Coturnix japonica: one gene and its partners. The protein of the gene in region 1 purifies or fractionates together with the protein of each later gene. This does not show direct contact. Links are inferred from orthologs where the notes say so. Each region holds a gene or a part of one and is shown on either strand. Other genes may lie near its edges.

Evidence for each region. Proteins that work in one complex are often made in the same cells at the same time.
Region 2: the proteins of CANX (region 1) and EMC1 purify together in Homo sapiens (affinity purification with mass spectrometry; 4 studies listed by BioGRID and IntAct, with this or other methods). This does not show direct contact. The link is inferred for Coturnix japonica from reciprocal best matches to the Homo sapiens genes CANX and EMC1.
Region 3: the proteins of CANX (region 1) and TAP1 purify together in Homo sapiens (affinity purification with mass spectrometry; 3 studies listed by BioGRID and IntAct, with this or other methods). This does not show direct contact. The link is inferred for Coturnix japonica from reciprocal best matches to the Homo sapiens genes CANX and TAP1.

The regions. Positions count from the first base shown.
Region 1 is NC_029528.1:4,533,234-4,538,980, forward strand, and holds the start of CANX (calnexin), read left to right. Parts: upstream 1-1,918; 5' UTR 1,919-2,023; intron 2,024-5,747. UniProt on the Homo sapiens protein: Calcium-binding protein that interacts with newly synthesized monoglucosylated glycoproteins in the endoplasmic reticulum. It may act in assisting protein assembly and/or in the retention within the ER of unassembled protein subunits.
Region 2 is NC_029536.1:4,061,450-4,067,165, reverse strand, and holds the start of EMC1 (ER membrane protein complex subunit 1), read left to right. Parts: upstream 1-1,985; 5' UTR 1,986-2,001; coding exon 2,002-2,102; intron 2,103-2,173; coding exon 2,174-2,298; intron 2,299-2,569; coding exon 2,570-2,635; intron 2,636-2,720; coding exon 2,721-2,814; intron 2,815-2,991; coding exon 2,992-3,120; intron 3,121-3,253; coding exon 3,254-3,380; intron 3,381-3,518; coding exon 3,519-3,668; intron 3,669-3,814; coding exon 3,815-3,982; intron 3,983-4,089; coding exon 4,090-4,161; intron 4,162-4,529; coding exon 4,530-4,586; intron 4,587-4,828; coding exon 4,829-4,951; intron 4,952-5,168; coding exon 5,169-5,265; intron 5,266-5,716. Other genes in the region: MRTO4 (mRNA turnover protein 4 homolog), read right to left, coding at 89-165, 413-564, 716-783, 911-992, 1,085-1,188, 1,256-1,314, 1,867-1,894. UniProt on the Homo sapiens protein: Part of the endoplasmic reticulum membrane protein complex (EMC) that enables the energy-independent insertion into endoplasmic reticulum membranes of newly synthesized membrane proteins.
Region 3 is NC_029531.1:100,887-106,698, forward strand, and holds the start of TAP1 (antigen peptide transporter 1), read right to left. Parts: upstream 3,732-5,812; 5' UTR 3,723-3,731; coding exon 3,542-3,722; intron 2,943-3,541; coding exon 2,840-2,942; intron 2,758-2,839; coding exon 2,627-2,757; intron 2,544-2,626; coding exon 2,338-2,543; intron 1,980-2,337; coding exon 1,782-1,979; intron 1,328-1,781; coding exon 1,199-1,327; intron 1,108-1,198; coding exon 922-1,107; intron 526-921; coding exon 352-525; intron 148-351; coding exon 1-147. Other genes in the region: TAP2 (antigen peptide transporter 2), read left to right, coding at 4,917-5,518. UniProt on the Homo sapiens protein: ABC transporter associated with antigen processing. In complex with TAP2 mediates unidirectional translocation of peptide antigens from cytosol to endoplasmic reticulum (ER) for loading onto MHC class I (MHCI) molecules.

The DNA of each region.
Region 1 (5,747 bases):
ACCAATGAATATCTCAACAACGTCATCTCTGCAGTGTGGTATCTGCCATCCCTCTTTCTTCCACTGCCCTGGCACAGCTGAGCCTGGCCTAAAAATACCACCTGCTTGGCTGCCAGAGCACTGAGACCTCTGTGCGTGGTCATTCTGTTCCCTTCAGTCCTCCTTTTTTCTTCTATCCCCTTTTTTTTCTTGGACCAGCTTTCTGCCCTGTGTGGATTTTGTATTATTTTAACCTCAGTTTAAACACCTCAATAATCCCAGAGCATGATACGCTTTTAGCAGCTTGTATTTGTTTTTAACTGGCTCTTTTTGTCCCCAGATGACAAAGCAGAGCGGGCAGCAAACGGGCTTCAGGGCTGCCTGTGCCATGATTCAGCAGTCCTAAAAGGAAGGAATGCCTGCTTTTTTTGGGAGAGGGTGGGGGAGAGCAGGAAGGCATGTGTGACTGCTGGGTGTGTGTGAGTGTGTGACTGCCGTGACTGTGTTTGTGCATTGCCTTCCCAGAGCTCGTGTGATTGGAGCACAGCGTTCTGCTGCCCTGCAAGCTATGCTGGAGGTAATAGCCTGTTTCAAAAGAGGGACTTGGATGGTACCTGGCAAAAACTGCATTTTGCCCAGGGAGGAGATGGAACATGCTAAATTAAACACCTTTGTTACCTTTTAGAGCATTGGTTTCTTATTTAAGACACTTGGTATCTCACCTGCTGCCTGTCGTTTGGGGCTGCTTCCCTGCCTGTCTCTCCGCATTCAGGCTGGGCGCAGCTCAGCTGACAGCGAGGCACAGGAGCCAGCTCGGTGGCTTTGGGGTAAACTGCGACCATCAGATCCCAAACTTCAGCACAAGCGGGATTTGCTGATTGACCTCATTTATGCTGAGCCTCATTTCCGAGCTGGGTCAGTGCCGGCATTGTCCTCACGGGGTGGAATTTTCTCTGCGAGGAGACGTAACGCTGCTGACTCACCGCGTCGGCTCAGAGCAGAACGACGTTTGTAAAGGAAAACCCCCCTTCCCTGCTCCCCGGAGGCCACAGCCGGCACCGGGACGTTCGGCTTCAGCTCCCACGGGCGGCACAGCGGAGGCAGGGCCTGCTCCGCTCCCCTCAGCCCTCAGCCCTTCCTTCCGCCACCAGAACCGTTACTTCTGCATCCCCGCCCTCCTCCGCTCGTCTGGCCTCACAGACACCCTGACACAACCGCATCGCTTCCTTCGGGAACCCGGCGTTACACAAGGCCTGCAAGGCCTCTTGCCCGGCCCCAGGCCCACACCCTCAGCTCAGCCTGTGACTAAGGGGTACCAGACACACAGATATTTTCCTAACAGGCTGAAAACGCTTTCCGAGGGGTTAAAGAAACACCAGGGAGCGATGAAGGTGAACGAGCCCCAGCAGTACGAGCAGCTCCCGGCACAGCAGCGAGCGAGGCCGAACCCTGCTACAAGGCCGAGCCCCGCTATGGGGCCTAACCCCGCTACGAGGCCGAACCCCGCTGTGAGGCCTAACCCCGCTACGAGGCCTTAACCCCGCTATGAGGCCTAACCCCGCTACGGGGCCTTAACCCCGCTGTGAGGCCTAACCCCGCTACGGGGCCTTAACCCCGCTCTGAAGCCTAACCCCGCTGTGAGGCGATGCGCCCAGGCCGCAGCCCCGGCCGTGCCCCCACCACAGAGAGCGGCCGTGTCCCCGCCCACATCTCAACGGCCTCCCCTGGGCCAGCCAATCACCGCGCACTTCCTGCAACCTCGCCAGCCAATAGGAGCGCTCCACGAAGGGCAGCGCCGTTGGGGCGTGTTTTGAGGCGGGCGGGCCGTTGAGCGGCGGCGCTTTTAGCCAATCAGAACGCAGAACGGGCGGAGGGGCGGGAGGGTGGGCGCGCCGCTCGCCAATGGGAGAAGAGAAGAGAGGTGGGCCGGGGGGCGGAGCTGGCGCGCAATAGATAGGCGGGCGACGGCGGCGCTGGGCGCCTGGACACGTGACGGAGGTGAGGGCCGGGGGCGGCGGGAGGGTCCGCGGTGCTGCGGGGTGCGGTGAGTGACTCCACAGACACACACACATATATACACATGGCGGGGGGTTTGTTGGGGCTGCGGGGCTCCGCACGGTGCGGGGGGTGCGGTGTTGGGGTGCCGGGCCTCGAGCCTTCAGCCTCCAGCGTGGGCCTTGTGGGCAGCGGGGGGGTCCCGAGCCGCTGAGGGAGGGATGTGTGCGGCCGAGAGCTGCGGGCCGCCATGCTGAGCCCTGCGGGAACGGCGCCTTCTGGTACGTTCTGAGGGCGGGCGGCGCTGCGGCCTGTGCGGGGATGGGCGGGATGGGGAGCGGGGCCGTGACGGCACGAGGGGGGGAGAGCACGGAGTGAGGGGACGGGGAGGATGAGCAATGGGAAACAACGGGGTGTGCAATGGGAAACAACAGGTGGGGGTGCGGGCTGAGAGCCGCCGTGCTGTGAGCCTCACGGGCTGGGCTGGTTGCAGCGCAGGGCTCTCAGCTCGCACTGCTGGTCTGAGGGTCTCAGCCGTGTGCTTTTGAATTACAAATCTTAGTAAAGCACTCGTAGTCGTGACAGCGCTGTCTGCTCTGCTCCTAAAGAGTGAACTTTCACGTGCCGTCCCGCGCTTCAGAACTTTCTAGGCGGTGGAAAGAGAAATGCTGCGGGTGAGCTCATTGGGAAGGGAAGCTGCCATGTGGTGCTGGCTGGGGTTACCTACAGCTCCGGGCTTCAGCGGTTGTGATGTTAATGAACGCTGCTGAGCATCGTGTAAAACACACCGAGTTCGTTTGGGGTTTGTCTGGTGCCTGAGGTCCGGGCTCCGGGAACGTGATGTTTGTTGAAATTCAGTCTGTTATTTAATGTTTGTCAAGTAGTGATAACCCATGTGTATTATAAGGAGATAATAGAACCGTAATAAGGTGTGATATAACAGTGTTAAGAGTATGGGTTAAATGGAAGTTAATATATTACTACAAAAACACTTGAGGTGCACGAGAGTGGCTATTACATTATGTGGGTTTATTCAGAATGCTTGGCCCTTTTCTAGTTAAACTTCAGTATTTAAGTCTCAATATTTCCACTTACTTCACTTTACTTAAATATATGTGTAATGAAGAGACTATTTCTACATACTATTTGACAAGCTGGCTATAGGACGTTAACTGTTTCCTGGTGTTGGCTGCCCCTTTTGGAAGAGAAGCCTAATGCAGAACAGCGAGGAAGCTCACAGCTTCCTCTAGTTTGCCCTTTCATTCAATGTGTTGCAGCATTTCCCGCTAAGTAAATGAATAAATGCTTCACTGAGAGCACCCTGTAACTTGTACTTAGCCCTTCCTTGTATTTCCTTTCCTGGCCTTTCATTTTTCTGCCTCTTGCAGTGAACAAAATGGCAGCCTGTTCTTGCTGGAATCAATTCTGTAGCAAAGCAATCCTGAATTGATTTCTAGGCATGATCTCAAAGATCTTGAGGCGCCTCCACATTTCTCCCCACCTACCTTAATTTCCCTTGCAGTCCATCTGTTTTATGGCCAAGAAGCCTTGCAGTTCTGCCTTTGTCCTCCAAGGACTTCCAGTTCTGCGGGGATCTCTGTGCTGACAAACAGTACATGGTGTTTTCTCCCTTGCTGTTTCTGCAGTGTTGTACATTATTTTTAGAAACTGGCGTATTTGAAGTGCTTATTAAAGGCGAGCTTTGCTGTCACCTTTCACACCTAATCCCTTGGTTTGTTCTTCTTGCAGTCCAACCAGGGTGGCTTTTTCTGTTGCTCGTGGGGGCTCCAGGTTTGGCTGATCCCTTCTCAGAGTAGCAGTGTGTCCTGCCCCCACCCCTCCTTTGTGAGGGGAGAAAAAAAGCCAAACCAACGATACCACCCACACACAGAACTCCAGCCTGTTGAAAGCAAGGCAGGGCACTACTGGAGTCTGTCTGACTGCAGAACTGAGCACTTAAGGGGAAAATTTGGTCTGTATCGTATGAGCTGCTGTAGATATGAACATAATTTTATTATATCCCTCTCAGGAGCGGTGGGAATCTGGATGCTGAGATCACAGTGTTTGGCAATGAGGTTAGTGGTCTAGCTTTGCTGTGGAGTGTAGATCTCCCAAGTCTGCCTAATGAGAGGCCTGTGTGACAGGCGTGGATGCCTGCAGTGTACCTGATACGTTGGCATAAAGCTGATGCTGCTGCTAGCAGCTTAACATCCTTTATCCTTGGCTACTTGTCCTGCTACAGCACCTTCTGCCTTTGTGTACTGGACTGGAGCATTGATGACAGGTTAAAGCAGAAGGGTTTTTAGCCATCTTAAAGGGCCTGCCCTGCTCACCAGCAGGCAGTTGCTGTGACACAGCAGAGGAGGCAGGATGTGGAAAGTGAAGGGATCTCAAGATGTCAGAGATTCCTCCGCTCTTCAGTGGTTTGAACTTTAAGGAACTATTGGCCTGCCTTGTGGAATAGCCAAGTCCTGCTCAGAAATAATGAGAATGTCGTTTGAAGGGGGTGAGGATGGGGCGGGTATTGCTCCTCCTTTTGGTCTCCTGGCAGTTTTGTTTGAATGTACTGACTTGTGTCTGTACAATTTTCTTCCCCGGCCCTTGTCTTGCATGAGGATGCACTGTGCTTAGTTTTGCAGTTGTGCTTCCTCTGTAAATACAGTAACAAAGTGTAGCACTGAACACAGGGCTTTGCTAGTAAATCTTGTTGCTTACATGCGCTCAAGTCAGTTTCAGCTGTTGAGATGTTGCTGAAATAAGAACTGATAGTGCTCTCCCAGTTAAGCTTCTGAAGGGTAGTTATGGTAACTTGTGTGATGCAGCCACTTCCCTTCAATGCTTTGCTCTGCAATACCTGATGTCAAAAGAGCTGTTTTATCTGACAGGGTCTTTTAATAGAAAACTTTGTTAAACTATATATCCAGCAGCGATTGAGCTGTAGTTATACTTTGTGCAATGTGCAGTGTTAAGAACTGGCTCGATGAGCCACTCAGATGTGTAACCAAGGAGATGATTAAACTGGTTTTGCAGGCTCTGCTTAAACTGTGGGGAAATAACTTTATAAAGAGTATGTTCTGGAAGTATGATAGCAAGGACCTTAGACATCCTCTGTGGGGGCCCTCTCCTCTGTGTCCTTCCTGCTGCATGTGCTGGTGATAACTGATGTACTAATCAAGTCTTTGCAGTGTTGTGCCACTAATTAAGAAGAAAATTAGACTTTATGCCCAATAAAATAGGAAAACCAAGTCTGTGAAGCTGCATGATTTCTTGAAGGCTTTGGAATGTGAGTGCAGCAATCACTTGGTCCTGCACTGTATGAGTGCTGCTGTGGCAGGAAGCTGATGCTGTCTCTTCATGTCCAGTTTGGTTTAGTTTTTACTGATGTAACTTCAGTGCAGTTCCATGTGTCTGTTCCCAATGCTGCCATAAATTGCAGGGGAAAATGCTTCAGCCCTTTGCCAGGAGCTGGTGGGCAGTGCTGGGGAGGCAATGAGCCTCCTGGCATGGAACCTGCCTGAGCATGAGTGATGTGATGGCACTGGCAGTCCTGAGCTCTTCCTGGCTATTGTCTGGTGATGGCAAATGGCAGCACTTCTCCCTTCTACGCAAGTAGCATGCTGATGTCTTGGAGTGTCCCAAGACCTTATTTAAGAAAGAAAGCTCTTGCCTCTGACTTGGCAGTGGTGTATTTAAATGAGAGTTATTCTCTGGTGGGAGCCCTGCTGAGCTCACCTGTTACAAAGGGTTCTGTGTTATTAAGTGCATGATCAGTG
Region 2 (5,716 bases), on another chromosome or scaffold:
CAGTGCAGCTCTTAGATGAGCTGCTGTGAGAACCACATGGAACAGTGCACGTCCCAGTGCCTGTGTTCCATTGTGTTCCATTGCTCACCAGGACCCGCGCTTGCTCGGGGGTCAGAATATCCCCTTCTTTGCAGACTTCATAATCTGAAAGCAGCGTCACCACTCCTGCAGGAACAAAAGCAGGGGAAGAAAACCCCATAATCTGGCTTGTTAGTGGATCAGCACTGCAGGAGGGCACAAGGCTGCCTCCCGTCCTATGGCAGCAGCCAGGTGGTGCAACAGGAAGAAAATAAGGCTTTGAGCACCAGCTTTGCTCCAAAACTCAACCCTAAATGCCTACAGAATGTTCTTTTTAACAGACTGCATAGGCACAATGGAAGAGAAAGGGAAGCAGCTCCCTCACACCGTGTACCTTTCTTCAGAGCTGTTGGCAATCCCAGCTGCCGCAGCTGAGGCTCCATGGAGTGGGGAAATTGCTCCAAGGGCCCCATGTCCAGACTGACTGTGTAGGTCGCCTTGTTCCCTGCTCGTGCAAAATCCACCTTCCTGAAGTTGGAGAACCACCTGAGGGAGATGAGCACACACAGGAATGGAGGCACTGTGCAGGTTGCTGGGGGTTGGGGGTATTTTATGACAGAGCAGGTGAGGAACAGCCTGTTGTGCATTTTGGACTTACAATGAGCTGCGATGAGCTCGGTCACACACACATACTTACTCATCCACCTCCTCTTTGGTGCGATTGGTGAAGAGGAGACCAACTTCACCCCTCAGGTGCTCGCTGACCTGTGATAAAGGAGCCCAGAGGTGCTGAGACTCAGAGTTAAGGCTGGAAATGCCCTCATCACCTCCATGGATGAACCCCCCCCTACGGACAGCTGTGCCGGTTGTTTCTAACCGAGTTCCCTCCCACCTTGTGTAAGTTCTCCCTGTATTCGCTGCTTGGCTCCCGGCCCAGCGCCACCATCATCACTTTGTTCTTCCCGAAGAAGATCCTACAATTCAACCAAGAGGAAGATGATGATGATGATGATGGTGATGATGATGGGGTTGACCCCTCTCCATCACTCCCCATCCCGTTGCTCACCTGCTGTGTTTCCATGCGTTCCTCACGTCCTTCAGCTTGTTGTTCCTCATGTTGGCCACGGAGAAGATGAAGATGTGTTTGTAGGTGTCCACGCATCGCCGCAGCTGCACGACAGCGGTTAGCGGGGCCTAATGGGGTGGAGCGGGGCAGCGCGCACTGGGCACGACTCACCTCCGTGATCAGCGCTTGTTTGGCCTCCAGTCCCTTCTTAGGCGTCCGCGTCAGGGACACTGCGGGGAGGGGACGTGGTTCACAGAATGACCCGGGTTGGAAGGGACCTCAAGGATCGTGTAGTTCCAACCCCCCTGCCTGGCAGGGCCACCAAACATACACCTTTACTAGATCAGGTTGCCCAGGAGACCCCATAGACCCCATAGAGACCCCATAGATCAGGTTGCCCATGGCCCCGTCCAACCTGGCCTTGAACACCTCCAAGGACGGGGCATCCACAACCTGCCTGGGCAGCCTGTTCAGGCCTAAACCATCTCTAGTGAAAGAGCTTCCCCCTAACATCCACCTAAAATCTTCCCTCTTTTTAAGCTTAAAACCATTTCCCCGTGTCCTGCTATTGTCAGCCCTTTCCAAGAGCTTAATCCCCTCATGGATGTAGATTCCCTTCATGTACTGAAAGGCTGCAATGAGGTCACCCCGCAACCTTCTCTTCTCCAGGCTGAACAAACCCAACTCGCTCAGCCTGTCCTCATAGGGGAGGTGCTCCATCCCCCTGAATGGTTAATGGGGAAGGGGAGGACGGAACGCCGCGACATGAGCCGCTCACTCACCCTTACGGTCCCGCTTGGATTTCGGCATGGCTCCCCGTGCTTCGAGGCCCCCCGGCACCGCGGGTGCTGCTGGGGATGTGCGGGCTGCCCCGCTCGGTGCCTCCCCGTTCAGGCGCAGCGCAGGGCAGCCCCGTGATGCGGGGAGGTCCCGGCGCTGTCATGGCGGCCGGGCTGTGGGTGCTGCTGCTGCCGCTGGCGGCCGCCGTGTACGAGGATCAAGTGGGGAAGTTCGACTGGTGAGTGCCGGGCTGTCAATGCGGGGCTAAACCCACGGCTCGTGTCCGTGTAACGCTGCCCGTCCCCGCAGGAGGCAGCAGTACGTGGGGAAGCTGAAGTTCGCCTCGCTGGAGGCCTCGCAGGGCTCCAAGAAGCTGCTGGTGGGAACCGAGAAGAACGTGGTGGCTGCGCTCAACTCCCGCAGCGGAGACATCCGTGAGTGGGGCGGGGTGTGGGTCACAGCCCACAGTGCTGTATATCCACTATGAGGGTGACACCAAGCCTATGTGTGCCAGTTATCAGTGCTCCTTCAGGGGGATGTTGGCCCTGAAATCCAAGCTGCAGCTCCCGCAGTGAGGACATGGCTCTTTGCAGTGAGGACATGGCTCTTTGCAGTGAGGCTCTTTGGGAGGTCCCAGGGCCGTGGGTTTGAGAGCAGTCAGCAACATCCTCATTGTGCCCATCTCCTTCTCGCTCTGTGTCTCAGTGTGGCGCCATGCAGACAAGGCCGGCCCTGAAGGAGCCATCGACGCGATGCTGATCCATGGTCAAGGTGAGCACATCACACACAGCAGCTGCTCTGCTCCCCGTGTTGGATGCCCTGGCTCTGGGCTCAGCTCCCTTTGCTCCCTGTGTAGATGCCATCACCGTATCCAGCGCCGGGCGCATCCTGCGCTCCTGGGAGACCAACATCGGAGGGCTGAACTGGGAGACGTCGCTGGACACGGGCAGGTAGCGCTGGGCACCAGGGATAAGTCAGTATTTAGTTAGTAAGCTTAACGTACCTTGTCTGCAGTACAGCAGTTTGGACATCAGGCTTTGAAAATCTGGATGGTTGTATCCAACAGCTCCCCCTGTTTGAGAGCCCACAGATCATTCTCTAATCAACCATCTCTGACCTGTGCTCAGTTTCCAGGCCGCGAGTCTGGTGGGGCTGCAGGACGCGGTGAAGTACGTGGCAGTGCTGAAGAAGGCGGCCATCTCCCTGCACTACCTGTCCAACGGGCACCAGAAGTGGGTGGAACAGCTGCCTGAAAGGTGAGGATGTATTTGGAGCTGAAGAAAGAAAGTTCAGACTCACAGCCCAACTCAGGATGCTTCATGTCCTTGAAAAGCTTTGGAAGCAATAAGACGAGCAAACGATGCCTCGTGCCCTTTGTTTCTCGCACAGTGAGGATACTCGATACCAGATGTTGTATTCCCGTGGGGCTGGAGTGATCCATGTGCTCGGAGTTGTCCCCCAGAGCCATCTGAAGGTGTTAACGCTCAGTGTGGAGGATGGAGAAGTCATAGAACAGGTAGTTGTGCTCGATTGTGGATCCAATGTGGCAAATTTGATATGAACAAACACAGTGCATGGAGTTGTGTATGTAAGTTCATTCCTTAAACATCATCATGCTGTTGACGTCTTCATCTCTTGATGTCTCTCTTGGCAGACCAAAGTAGCAGCCCCGTGGCTGAAGAGCTTAAATGGAGCCTGCAACGTGGTGGGGGAGGCAGTGCTGGTGTGTGCAGACGCAGCCACGCGTTCGCTCTATGTTTGCTCTTTGGAGACGGAGCAGGAGATGAAGCAGATCCCGCTGCAGGTGAGCAGTGCTGAGAGGCTTCGTGTGCAGTTATCCAGCTGATTTGGTGCCTGGCGGTGCTGTCTGTTGCTGCTGATACAAGGAAGCTATTAGTTTCACTGGGGAAGAAGTTTCCATCAATGCATGTGCTTGTTTCCCTTCCACAGTCGCTTGACCTGGAGTTTGCTGATGGTTTCCAGCCCAGGATATTGGCTACTCAGCCCAGTGTGATCAACGCTTCGCGCACTCAGTTCTTCCTGCAGCTCTCTCCGGGCTCCTTCTCCCTGCTGCAGTGCAAACAGGGGCTGCTCAGCCACCTGAGGGACTTCCAGCAGGTAACCAGGAGAAAGGGCCAACACAGCTTAACACTGCTAACAACAAACACCCCTTTTTATTGTGTTTTATCATTTCTTGCTCCGTTCTCTTTTTCCCTTTTTTTCAGGCAGCCCTGGTGAGCTTTGCAACTACTGGGGAGAAAACTGTTGCTGCTGTGCTGACCTGTAGGAATGAGCTGGTAGGTGCAGCTCTGTCATCTGAATGTGGCTTAGAGTGGGTTCCACGCTTATTCCTTTGCAGGCCTGCATGATGAGTAGCTTGGGAAAGAGTGGGATTTAATGATCTTTTCAGGCCTAAGAAGTAATGCATGCAGGTCTTGGTTACATCCAGCCTAGGCTCACCTTGTCTAAGCTGTTGTGTCACGTATACGTTCACTGCAGTAGATTTCAGTTCTTACGGGCACTGAGCTGAGCACAGCCTCGTTTTTAGCATAACTCTCTGCTGCTTTTAAAGCCAAGCTGAGATTGCCAAGCACACAAAGCAATTCATTTATCACGCTCTCATGGCAGTGTCAAATCACGTTACCTTCTCTCATCCTCATTGCAGAAACCTGGGAGTTCTGATGGCCTTCATGGAAGTGCTCTGGAGGATTCCCAGAAACAAGTATGAAAAACAAGTTCCCATATGCCATAAAAGTTCTTGACAGTCCTTTTTCTTCCTTTGCTTGTGGGAACAGAGCATAGAAGGTGTTACACCTTGGTTTTGGAGGCTGATGTTTCACAGCACCTATAGATAAACCATCTAAAAACATTTTGAAACCATAATGCTTGCTCACATGAGATTCTGCAGCAGAATTTGACGTGACTGGTAAATTGATCTGAGCATTTTTCTGCACGATGTTACAGGAATCCTTAACCTGTTCCAATCAAACCTACAACATCAATCTCTATCTGGTTGAAACTGGACAAAGATTGCTGGATACCACCATCACCTTTAACTTGGAGCTGAACGGTGTCAAGCAGGAGCAGGTGGGTGGGCAGAGATTACTTCAGTCCTCTGGTTTGTTGTGCTTGCAATCGCCTTCACACCATGATTTGGCACCATTTGTAGAGCTGTTGAGATGTGGTGAAATCATTACTGTGTGCAGCTACGCTGTTTGTTTCACCTGTGTGTTTACTGTTATCCAAGCAGATGGTGTGATCACTAACCCAACCGACTGGCTTAATCTTTTTCTTTTTCCCTCAGCTCTATATCCAGGTTTTCCTGAAGAAGGATGACTCGGTGGGCTACCGAGCCTTGGTGCAAACAGAAGACCACATGCTGATGTTCCTCCAGCAGCCAGGTGATTGGCACAAACTGCAAACCTGACCTGGGTTTTACCAGCAACCTTCTTCAGGAGGAGAAGAAAACTGCAGTGCTGTAGAACCCAGGCCCTGTATTTTAGGGTTGCTGTTGTGCTGTGGAAGATACTGCAGTCTTTCATCATCTTTCACCCTCAAAAGATATCTCACCTGAGATGACTATTCTGCCATGTTCTTTGTATAGGGAGAACCTATCAGTTTTATAGTGTTTTAGGTTAGGGTTTGGCTTTTTTAGGGGGGTATCAAACATCTTACCATAGGGTGAGTCTAAAAACATTCTAGATCTTTCTCAATGTTTCTACAGAACAAAATCCTCATGGCAGATAACACTCATTTGCAGAAGGGGTTGCAGGTCCATCTCAGTGATATGAATGTTCCAGGGCTTATGTCCTCACACTTGGTTTTGAGTTTTTTTTCCAATATCGTTGTGGT
Region 3 (5,812 bases), on another chromosome or scaffold:
TTGGGGCAGGCGGGTGATGAAGTTGTGGGCACCCACCCGGCGGGCAGCAGCTGTCACCTGATCGCGGCTGCAGCCCCCCGACCCATAGGAGATGTTGTCGTGGAGGGAGCGGGCAAAGAGCAGCGGCTCCTGGGGGACGACGGCCACCTGCAGGAGAGGGATGCAGCTGTGGAGGTGGTGGGGATGGATCGGGGACAGCTGGGGATGGATACAGTGGGGATATGGTGGGGAATGTGGTGATGCTTGTGGACCCAGACAACTGGTGACCCAACGGGGATGGCTGCTGATATGCAAGAACACCCGGTGACCCACAGGGACAACAATGAGCTGTGGGGATGTGCGGTGACTCACCTGGCGGCACAGGTAGGAGTGCTGGTAGGTGGGGAGGGGGTGTCCATCCAGCAGCAGGCGTCCGGCTGTGGGCTGGTGCAGGCGGGACACGAGGGCCACCAGAGTGCTCTTCCCTGCACCTGGGGGTCCCAGCAGGGCCAGCACCTCCCCAGGGTGAAGCTCCAGCGATACACCCTGGGGACATGGATGTCACACCCATGGTGTCCCTGTACCCACCCCTCCATGGCCCCATGGCCTTCCTGCTGTGCCCTTCTGTCCCCTTTCCCACCCCCCTTCCCCAATCTCGTTTTGTTCCCATACCTCTGGTACCACATCTATACACCCATGCCCTCCCCGCCATGTCTCTGTCACTCATTGTGTCCCCATGCCACATTCCCACCACCTGCCATGTCCCTGCGCCCTCAATGCCACGTCCCCAAACCACCCCCTCCTTGCACCTCTTTGCTTCATATCCTCACACCCATCATGTCCATCACATCCCTGTGGCCCTGGATCACCCCGCTGTGTCCCCACACCTGTCACGCTGTTCCACCACATCCCTGTGTCCCCTGGCTCTGTCCCTGTGCCCACCTTGAGGACGGGCTCCTGGCGCCCAGGGTAGGAGAACCAAACGTCCTCCAGCTGGAGGTGGCCCTGCAGCTCACTGGGTGCCATTGTCCCCGAGGGTGCCACCTTGGGCTCCCGGTCCAGGAACTCAAAGATCTTCTCTGAAGAGCCCACAGCCTTTGTCAGTGTGGGGTAATAACAGAGCAAGACCTGGGGACAGCGCAGTGATACAGCCAGGGGTTAAGGGGAAGCGGCATGGGGACATGGGGACGTGGGGACATGGGCATCCCCTCGGGCTCACCTCTATGACATCAGTGAACTGCATCTGGTAGAGGAGGAAGGTAACGAGGTCCCCGGTGCTGACGGTCCCCGCAGCCACCAGCTGCCCCCCATAGTAGAGGATCCCCATCTTCAGAGCCAGTGCTGAGAACTGAGGACGCCATGAGGTCAACGGGGGACACCTTCCCAATGATACACTGAGTTCCCAGCCCTACTCTGTCACCTTGCCCTGCTGTCAGTGTCCCCCATGTCCCAATGCCCCACAGCTATGCTATCCATCCCTTCATGCCATCATGTTCTGGAGCCCCTGTGCCACTCCATTCCCACATCACCGCATCCTCCTGCCCCACCACTCCTCTACTTCTGTGCCTGCCACATCCTGATGTCCCCATGCCATCACATCCCCATCCCACAGTCCCCATTCCATCATATCCCCATGCCCTGCCTCCATCATGGCCCCCAGCCCCTCAGCATCATGTACCCATCTCCTCATGTCTCAATACCATCATGTCCCCATGTCACCCAGTCCCTATCCTGTCAAGTCCCCATGTCCCCCAGCCCCATTCCATCACATCCCCATCCAACTGAACGGCCCCATCCCATACACCGCTGGTCCAGAGGTTGACAATATAGAAGGCTACATCCTTCTTCTCCAGGCTGTGGCTCTGCTGCAGGCGCTGCCGGTAACATGCAGCCACCCCGTCCTCATTGGCGAAGCTACGCACAGTGGCCATGGCCTGGAAGGTCTCCACTGCCACCTCGCTGGCCCGGGCATGAGCCTTCTGCATCTGTGGTGCCAGGCCCTGGGGACAGCAGTGTCACTGCAGGGTGGGTGGGAGAGGAATGGGGGCTGGGGGAGGGGACAGTGAAGGCATAGAGGGGACTGAGAAATGGAGGGGACATAACGGGGATGGTGGGCACGTGGAGGTGACAGTGGGGGCACGCAGAGGATAGTACCTACATGGAAGGGATAATGGTCACACATAGGGGATAGTGAGCACGTGGCAGGGGTGGTGAGCACATGGAAGGGACAGGGGGCACGCGAAGGGACAATGGTCACATAGAGGGGACAACAGGAAGGAGGACAGTGGGTACGTGGAGGGGACAGCGGACACATGAATGGGACAACAGGCACGTGGGGGCACAGCCAGCAGCCCATACCTGCCGGAAGCGCCCCATAGCCCTGGGCAGGGCCAGCAGCAGGGGCAGCAGCAGCATGGTGAGCAGTGCCATGCGTGGGGACAACCAGGCCATGGTGGCAAAGAGGCAGATGCCACGTGCCAGATACCACAGCAGGAGGCTCAGTGCTTCACCCAGCTCTTCCCGCACGTCCTCTGCATCCCGCGTCACCCGCGTGGCCACATCCCCTGCAGGGTAATGGTGCCATCAGTGCCACCCCTGTCCCTTTTCCCTCCCTATATCACCCCCCCAAACCCCCTTGGCCTCTCACCGGCCCCATCAGCTCGCAGCTCAGCAATGTCCTGCCTTAGGACGGCAGCGAAGACACGGCGCTGCAGGCGGCTCTGCGTGCGGCTCAGCGTCCCCACGAAGATCACATCACACACCAGCTCGGTGACAGCGCTGTGATGGCACTGAGGTGTCAGGGGGTCCCACGCTGCTCCCCACCCACACCGCATCCCCCTCACCCCCCTTGTGTCAATACCTGCTGAGGCCCAGCAGCACCATGGGCAGGATGGCTGCCAGCTCGTCCTCGCGGGCCACCCAGTCGCTGGCACGGCCCATGTAGTAGGGGACGGCCATCTCACCTGTCACCACAGCAGGGTCAGGACAAGGGGGTGACCCCTCCCAACAAGAAATGGTGCCCCAGAAGTTCTGTGCTGCACCCCCAGTTTGGTGCTGTACCCCCAAAGCTCGGAGGTGAACCCCTCCAAAGCTCAGCATTGCCCTCCAGTGGGCTGCACCCACCCATCCACTCATCTCCATTCAATCCCCACCATTTCCATTCAATCACCATCCTCACCCCAACCCAACCCCAATCCCATCTCCATCCTCACTCCATCACACCCCCATAATCACCCTGCCCTCAATCCCCATCCCCATCCCAAAGCCAGCCCCAGTTTCCATTCTCCCTATTCCCACCCCATCCTACCCCCATTCCCAGTTCTAAACCCACATCATTCCCACTCCATCCTAACCCCATTCCCAGTGCCCAGTCTACCCCCACACCATTCCCATTCCCATTCCCATTCCCCATCCCATTCCATGGTTATCTCCACCCCCACCCCATCCCCTTCCCAACCCATCCCCATCCCTATCCTCACCCCCATCCCCACCACAACCCCATCCTCATTCATTCAAATCCCAATCCCACTCCGATCCGCTCCCCACTCCCCACTCCCCGTACCCAGCGCCGAGGCCGCCATCAGACCCATCCCCGCAGCGCAGCGCCGGCTCTCGGGGCTCAGCGAGAGGAGGAGGCGGCGACCTGCGCCCATCGTCCCCATTGCAGCCCCCGATCCCACTCCGACCCCGATCCCAATGCCCGGCAGCGGCCGCAGCTTCTCGGAAACGGGAGAGTCGCTCATTGGCTGAGGCGATGCGGCAGCGGCTCCTCTCATTGGCCGAGACGGGGTGGAGTCATCAGTTGCCAGGCAGATCGGAACGGAATAGGTTGGAGAGGGGTGGGGAAATTGAAAGCGAAAGTAACGGCGGAGCGGGGAGGAGATGGGGAGCGGCGGTGGTGAGGGGCTGGAGGGGGTTGGAGTGGACTGGTGGGGGGCTGGTGGGGACTGGTAAGAGATGGACTGGACTAGAGGGGGGCTGGAGGGGGCTCGTGGTGGCTGGTAGGAGCTGGAGTGGACTGGTGGGGGACTGAAGGGGGTTGGTAGGAGGTGGAGTGGACTGGAGGAGGCTGGAGTAGAACTGAGGAGGGGGTCTAGAGGGGCTGGTGGGGGCTGGAGTGGACTGGTGGGGGATGGAGGGGGCTTGTAGGGGCTGGAGTGGGCTGGTAGGAGCTGGAATGGACTTGGTGGAGACTGGTGGGGGGCTGGAGCGGACTAGAGGGGAGCTGGAGTGGACTGGTGGGGGCTGGAGGGGGCTAGTAGGGCCTGGGGGGGCTGGTAGGAGGTGGATGGACTGGTAGGGGGCTGTGGGGGGGCTGGAGTGGACTGGTGAGGAGCTGGAGCGGGGCTAGTAGGAGCTGGAGGGGCTGGTGGGGGCTGGTAGGAGCTGGAGAGGACTGGTAGGGACTAGGGGGGCTGTTAGGGGCTGGAGTGGGCTAGTAGGAGCTGGAATGGACTGGTGGGGGCTGGAGTGGCTGGTGGGGGACTGAAGGGGCTGGTGGGGGGCTGGTAGGAGGTGGAGTGGACTGGTGGGGGGACTGGAGGGGGCTTGTAGGCTGGGGTGGACTAGAGGGGAGCTGGAGGGGTTGGTGGGGGCTGGAGTGGACTGGTGGGGGGATGGAGTGAGCTGGGGGGGCTGGAATGGACTGGTGGGGAGCTGGAGGGGGCTGGTATGAGCTGGAGTGGACTGGTGGTTACTGGTGGAAACTGTTGAGGGGCTGGTGGGGGCTGGTAGGAGTTTGTTGGCTGCTGGTGTGTGCTCCAGGCAGGGCTGTGGGGAGCTGGGCTGGAACTGGAGGCCATTCTCAAAGCACTGCTGTGTGTTCCAGACACTGAGGGGAGCTGAGGACCTGCACCAGGAGCACACCAGGAGCACCCCAGGGAGCCCACCCAGTCCAGCTGTGCACCAGAGGCTCTGGGGGTCTCCACCCTGCAGCCATGGCCGTGCCACCCCACATTCTGCGCCTGTCGTGCACGCTGCTCCTGGCCGACCTGGCCCTTATGTTGGTTCTGACCCACTTCTTCCCAGCACTGGCCCAGTTGGGCCAAATGAGCTCCTGGCTGGAGGCTGTGCTGCGCCTCCTGGTGCTGGGGGGGGCCAAGCAGCTGCTGGCCCCCAAAGGACCCCATGGGGCTGCAGTGTTGCTGAGCCTGACCCCAGCCATCTTCCTGACCCTACGGGGCTACATGGGGCTACCTGGAGCTGCCCCGGTGCTGCTGGCCACAGCCACACCATCCTGGCTCGTGCTGACCCACGGGACAGCTTTGGTGGCATTGCTCACCTGGAGCCTCCTTGCCCCGACTGTGGCTGTGGGGGCAAAGGATGCAGAGACCTGGGTGCCCCTGAAGAGGTTGCTGGCCCTCGCCTGGCCCGAGTGGCCCCTCCTCAGCTGTGCCTTCTTCTTCCTCGCCTTGGCTGCACTGGGTGAGACCTCAGTGCCCTACTTTACCGGGAGGGCCCTGGATGTCCTCCGCCAGGGGGACGGGCTCACCACCTTCACTGCTGCTGTCGGCCTCATGTGCCTGGCCTCTGCCAGCAGGTAGGGATCCTGTATCTCTCCACAAAACCCCATCCAGCTCTGGTGGTCGTCTGATGGGTTTGTGGGTCTCTGTCGATTCCTGGTGGTCATCTGATGGGTTTGGGGGTCTCTGTCAATTCCTGGTGGTCATCTGATGGGTTTGGGGGTCTCTGTCCATTCCTGGTGGTCATCTGATGGATTTGGGGGGTTTCTGTCCACCCCTGGTGGTCATTTGATGGATTTGGGGGTCTCTGTCCATTTCTGGTGGGCATCTGAGGGCATCTGGGATCTCCATCCCCATATGTAGCCAACCCC